Danio rerio: one gene and its partner. The protein of the gene in region 1 binds, or shares a complex with, the protein of each later gene. Links are inferred from orthologs where the notes say so. Each region holds a gene or a part of one and is shown on either strand. Other genes may lie near its edges.

Evidence for each region. Proteins that work in one complex are often made in the same cells at the same time.
Region 2: timm29 (region 1) and timm22 share a complex: the UniProt entries of both Homo sapiens proteins name them as parts of the TIM22 complex. The link is inferred for Danio rerio from reciprocal best matches to the Homo sapiens genes TIMM29 and TIMM22.

The regions. Positions count from the first base shown.
Region 1 is NC_133178.1:33,033,254-33,036,751, forward strand, and holds timm29 (mitochondrial import inner membrane translocase subunit Tim29), read left to right. Parts: upstream 1-1,259; 5' UTR 1,260-1,269; coding exon 1,270-1,372; intron 1,373-2,005; coding exon 2,006-2,661; 3' UTR 2,662-2,880; downstream 2,881-3,498. Other genes in the region: protein YIPF2, read right to left, coding at 1-5, 100-251, 351-381. UniProt on the Homo sapiens protein: Component of the TIM22 complex, a complex that mediates the import and insertion of multi-pass transmembrane proteins into the mitochondrial inner membrane.
Region 2 is NC_133180.1:68,924,548-68,927,841, reverse strand, and holds the end of timm22 (mitochondrial import inner membrane translocase subunit Tim22), read right to left. Parts: intron 1,186-3,294; coding exon 1,113-1,185; intron 999-1,112; coding exon 922-998; 3' UTR 585-921; downstream 1-584. UniProt on the Homo sapiens protein: Essential core component of the TIM22 complex, a complex that mediates the import and insertion of multi-pass transmembrane proteins into the mitochondrial inner membrane. In the TIM22 complex, it constitutes the voltage-activated and signal-gated channel.

The DNA of each region.
Region 1 (3,498 bases):
AGCAACTGTGGAGAATATTGCACAATGTGGAAAAACAACCAGTGAGTGACTAAATTAGCTGCTTGTGATATGTTGTGACCGTTTTGTTTGGCGTGTCACCTCTGAACTCTCCTGCTGATTCTCTTCATCGTCGGACAGGTCGAGTCTGACCTCTCCAGATGGGGCTGCTGCTGCTGCTGGGTTTGAGCTGGAGATGCTGAGGGTTGAGGCTCCAGGATTTGAGGACAGGAGATCTTCGGCTTCTTCAAACTCTGAACATGTGAAAAACAACAGACACAACTTAAAACAGATTAAAACAGAGACACCTGAACAGTAAGGTACATAACGTTACAGATGAACACAATCCTTACCTTGAAACTTTAAATCATCTGGACTAGCCATGACTGGAGATCATACGAATTCACTCTTCAAGGGAAAAACGACTGTAAATTACAAATAATTTAATCACACGACAGCTGTTACCACTGAAATCTGAACAGATTTAGACTTGACTCACTCACCTGGCTGATAATCCAGCAGTGTGTTTCCTGATGCTGCTATTATTCAGCTTGTGTCGAGCTAGCAAATACAAAAACAATCGTTTTGTCAGCTCGGCTGGTGTTTTGTAACACCCTTTGGCTAAGTGGGATCAATAATATCTGCAAACGATTCGATTACAGATAGAAATCATTTGATGCAGTTTTAATACACAAGGATTTAGCGTTATCGTCCCCATATTCCACGTCACCTGCAGGGTTCCGCTGCGTCAAAACACAATCACGTGACCGGAACAAAGCCGGAACTAAAATGTGTGTTGGCTACCTGAATGGGAATTGAAAACAACCTGAGCATAATATGATAAAATTACTATAAACTATTATTACTAGCTATAAAACATGGAATTGTGTTTTTCTTCTTAATGTGATTGAAATTATGCAAACTATTGTATTGTTTAATTAAACATACTTTATCTTTTCTATTCAGTGTTGTAGCGTTAGTATACTGTTATTAATGTGTATGTCTTAGTCCGTATGGACCTTCGATTGACATCTGTTATAACTGACAAAACGGGGCAAAATTTTGTTTGGTGGAATGGGGCAAGGAACTTTGTGTTTCCTCTCCGGAACAATAACATTTCACGTACCGTGTACTCGCCATTTTGGCTCAACAGTTTCACCATGCAGCACTATTACGTTTATCAAGATTTGGAAACTCTCGGCTGAAACCTCTTCCTGTGCACATTCACCGTGAACTCTGAACTTTCACACTTACTCGAGTTCATTTGCTAACATGGCCGCCTCGTGGCTGCTGAAGAGATGGTGCTCCACGGCAGCTAACGTTACAGTGACAGCCAAGGGCACACGGTGGGAAAGGCTAAGAAACGGTCGCGCAGGTAAGACTAAATGCTTATCATTTTCCCCATTTCTGGAATGAGTATTAAAGATAAGATTGATATTACCCTTAGCTACCCAGATACGCTAGTCCAGTGTAAGTTTCTTGTATTTATCTGATTTCTGGGTAATGTATACATGTTAACATTTACCTGCATAACCGCAGCAGCAACTTATGCAATAACTTTATTATAATTCATTCAGATTTACAGTATAGCATTAAGAATGTATTTCAGTTTGTAGTATTCCTAATTAAAATATAGCTCCATCCCTTAAAAAATGCAGAAGATACTTTGAAAAATGTTGCAATTGGAAGCCATTGATATTCTTAGATGGGGAAAATACCATAATAGTCAATCACAACTGTGTTTTCAGCATTATTCTAAATATCTAAAGAGACTAAGTAGGTTTAAAGAAAAAAAAACTGACTATATAAAGACGTAATTAAAATATCTGAGTGAACGTACTGTTTTAATTGTAATAAATGACTTTATATAAACTGAATTTTAGATTCGATTAAACTTTTAAACTATTGTCATTACACATGTACAAGTACAATGCAACGAAACGCAGTTTAGGTCTAGCCAGCAGTGAATGGTTTGTCTAAACTCTGTTAATCTCTCGGCTGTTTTCAGGTGTATGGTTCCGCAGTCTTTTAACTGACTATAAGGAGGCTTGTCGTGAGGCGGTGGTAGGGGCCCGTGATCGACCCCTCAAAGCTTCAGTCTACCTGGGTGTTCTGGGAGGAATGTACGCTTGCTGTTACACCAACCCTGATGATTCCTCCTTTGAGACCAGCCTGCTGGAAACCTCCAACCGCCTAGCTCTCCTGTCGCCATGGATACGCAGTGGCACCTCAGATGGACACATCCAGACCCTTGTGAAGCTGCGAAACGAGGGCAGGCTGCGCTATGCCAGTCTGGGCATCGCCTCTTTGACTTATTACGCAGACTACGATGCTGAGTCTAGCCTGTATGAAGCGCGATGCTCTGCCATCTCTGTGCCCTGGTCCGAGCTGCATAAGCGTGTGCTGGACGTGGGCTTTGCGGGACGCTGGTGGGTGCTTGATCATAAAATGAAGGACTTTGATATAAACGAGGAGGAGTTCAAACATCTTCCTCCCGCTCTGGTGGCAACAGTCCCACCATCACCACAAATAACTGAAAGAAACGAAAAGCTGCATGAGGACTCATGGAAAGCTGTTGTGATGGATGAGGAGAGCAGTGAGTTAGAGGGTGTACAGAAAGACATGGACACAGCTGATAAAGGAAAAGAAAGCATCAAAGCATAAATGTATTGATGGACGTGGTAAAATTAATGCTGTTTTTCATACAAGAAGGATCAACTGTTAACAAGGAATGTAGTAGGAGACATTCTTGTACTACTAAAGACGAGGAATGATGATTAGAATGTGTTTATGCAAGTAAAGAAACATTTTACCACTAAAGATATGCAGAAAAGTGTGACTTGCTGCCTACAAGTACATTAAAACAGCTGCAGTATATGCTGACATTGTGTTATGTGAATGGATTATTAGTACTACATCAGCTCAGCAAAAATATGAATGTCTTTTAAGTTGATTAATTCTCCGTCAGTGAAGGAAAACTCACACAATATTTAGGCAAAGGTATAATGTTGTGTGTATTTGTTTTGTTCAGAATTCTATTTAAAAAATTTTCCTAAAATATTGTTATTTAAAGGTTTTATTATTTTTTTTAAAATGGCATTTTCAGAAAACAAAGGGTAAACAAATGTGAAAAGTTGCTTTCTTAATTTTAAGCTGTGTTGTCTAAATTAGGCCGTACTCACACTAGGTACAGTTGCCTCGAACCGGGCCAAAGCACGCTTGTCCCCCCTCTTGTCTCCCCCGACGGCCTGCACTCACACTACAATCGGGCCTGGGCACACTTACGTCATCGATGCTGCGCTGTTCAGTGAGAAGCGCTGTCACTCAGCAGCACAGTGGAGATTTCTCTAGTTATATAGTTTCAGTCGTTTGTTATGCGTTGACATGCAGTCAAATATTTCGCCAAACAGTCCTTAGGGATGCGGTGACACGCAGTCAGATATTTCGCCGTACAGATCTGCCACTTTTGGCGCTCATAAACAATCACAAAGCTTTCATGCT
Region 2 (3,294 bases), on another chromosome or scaffold:
AAATTACAGACATTTACCATAAAATAACGGCCATTAAATTACAGACATTTACTGTAAAATAACGGCCATTAAATTACAGACATTTACTGTAAAATAACAGATGGCAAATTACAGACATTTACCGTAAAATAACAGATGGGTAATTACAGACATACTGCAATTTAATTGCTATTATTACTTTAAATTACACAAATGTGTCATTAAAATTATAAAACTGACCCAAGATCAAGTAAAAACTAGGAACGTTTTTAAAAAGTTCTTGCTTACAATAAACCCATTCATGGGTTCATCGGCCAAGAATGAAGAATTACCAAGCTTGAAATGTTTTGAACCAGTTGTGACATAACCAAGCCCAGTTTTATGAAATCATGTGACCTTGGCCTTGTTTGATACATGCTCCAAAAACCACTGATTTGAAACAATGTTTATGTTTTGCAAATCTGCCATCACTACTTTGACGAACAGAAAGCTGCTTGCTTTGAAACGAAAATCTGTGAGCCTGTTTTATGTTCATTATTACATTACTGAGACAATGCCAACACACTTCTTGCTTGTTCAAATACGAATTTCGCCACAACAAGTACTTTATATCATTCTTTATTTCTATCACAGACAAAGTATAACACTGTACATTTAATTATTATCATTTATTTTTTGCTCGGGCATCATCCTGTTTAACATTTACAGGTACAAATATTGTCCTAGATGTTTTTGTAGTAGTGCCATCAGATGATCTGAGACAGAAAGGTCAAGATATTCCAAACCCTGCATAAAACTTCTGCTCATTGGTCCACTGAGGCAACTGAATCTCTTCAGGAGGAACAGCTCCTGATTGGTGGAAGAAAGAAAGGCTGGACATTGTCTTCCATTATACAGTGAGCAGCTCACAACTGTACAAGCCAACAGTCCTAAAGCTGATCTTCATCGGAGGTAATATTCAATGGCAGCAGAGAAGGCAGCAAAGCCTCCACAGCCCAGAACTCCAGCTTTAAGGCCGGCTAGAGAAGAGAAGCACAGCTCATTGAAATAGTCCAACTTATGATAATAAAAATGAGATGATATTTAAATGTGGGATGTTTAAAAAAAATAAAATATAATCAAAAAAGACTTGCCTCTGAATCCGATGGCACCTCCTGTAATACAGCCACTGTATACTGCATTCTTCCAGTCAGACTTCCCACGATGCTGGTAAAAAATAAAAGCATTTTTCAGAGAGAGAAATAAAATGGCCTTTGAAAAATCTCTACAATGGACACTTTTCACATTTCTGGGTTTCTCAGTAGTGGAAGTCGTCATGGTTGGGTAAACTTGGAGCGCAGTGAATGGGAGCCAATCTAGAGCCATATATACATGCAAAATAAAAGAACGTTTTTTTGAGCAAAAATAAATAAACGAAAATCCCCCAAACGGGGGAAATAAGTTTTAAGAAATAAATATGAATTTTGCAAAAAAAAAAAAAACTGCAAATAAATCAAGCAGTTAAAAAAATATTTCACTTTGTGAAAAAAAGGGGAGCAGAGTCAAGGGAACCTGGAAGTTTATGGCAGGCCCAGACCTGCCTCCATTTAAGCGACGTCATCAGCTAGAGACACAGTATCACCGAGGTGGTCTTACAGCCAAGTAGCTCCAGCCTCTGCCCTTTGTCAAATTAGGGCCACAAAGTGAAACGTGCAGAAATGTAAAGTGCAAAATAAAAACAGCATCGTAGACTCACGGTTGACTAAAAAGCTAATCGAAATGAACATTGCAATTGACTGGACGGGTTTTGTAAAGGCTATGCTATCAAAGATGTTTTGCAAATATATTGTAGTTTTTTATAGCAAATATTTCCGTTTTTTTGCACTGCTTAACTTGTATTTGCAGTTCTTTTTTGTTTGCAAATTTCATTTTTATTTCTTAAAACTTCATTTTCCCTTTGCAATTCTTTATTTTTATCAGAATATTTTTACTTTTTAAAAAAAAAAAAAAATTCGCTTGCGATTTGCATTTATTTATTTATTTTTGCTCAAGACTTTGTTTTTGTTTGCAAAACTTTCTTTTATTTTGCATGTATATATGGCTCTAGATTGACTCCATATACAACAAATATTTTTACAATCTTATTTGCTGAAATAATAAAATGAATCTCCACAATGGTGTAATCAAGACTTTCAGAAAAAGAAATAGTGTCAGACTGATAATGACAGACAGTAAAGAGAACAACGTCCCGTCAAATGTACTGTCCCGTCCATAGACGCTCCATTACAAATGCCTCACACAAGCGGTAATTCATTTTTTGTAATTTGATGCAAAGATTATTTAATACATACATAAATACATATCCCTGCTGAAACAAAATGCTTAAATCAACCTAGGCTGGTTGGCTGGTCATGCTGGGAGATGACCAACTAAAACCAGCTTGACCAGCCAAAACCTGCAATGTCCAGCTTAAACCATGCTTGTCAATCTGGTCATTTTCCAGCCTGAACAGCTAAGAAAAGGCTGGAAAAGGTTCATGATGTTTTTTAAAAATCAAAATATTAAAAACTTTCAAGGATTTAAGATGGCGATGACCGTTAAACACATCATAACGAGTGAAATGAATAGATGATCAGAAAGTGTTCAAATACAGAACCACTAGGTGGAGACAATAATCCACATTAAACTGAATGTGCAGCAAAAGATGCTTCTATGAGTGGTGCATTTAATGTTTTAACTTTAGTGAAATATTCAAACATTGTGTACTATTTTATACAGTCTAAACTGATATATCATTTATGCTGATTAGTACGTGATATAAAACATAAACAGTGTGAAACAGGTTTGAATATGTACTGGGATTATGAAGTGACACACTAGTGAATATCTTATTTTGAACAGCTATCATCAAGACAAAAATTGAATGATGTCTATTTTACATTTACTAATATATTACAAATGTGTGCTATTCTAAGTACAAAAAAAGATATTTATATTATTAGATTACATTTATATTTGTATTAGATAATCCATGATCTATAGGAAAATTATCAATCATTAGCAGCTTTTTGGTACAGCAATAGTTCTAAAATAATGAAAAATAAATTGCAGACAGCCCAAAATAAGTTGTGTAGAATTATTATGAAAGTTCCTCCACTGACACATTTAAATAAGGAACATTATAGTCAAAGTCATTTTTTAAAAGTTGAGAAAGTTTTTAGGACTTTAAAAAAAACAGTCCCAAAATATTTTCTTAATTATTCTGTTTTAGTCAGCCAGGTGCACAGTCATTCTACAAGAGCATGCAGCAGGGATTTTTACCCATACAGATTCAAG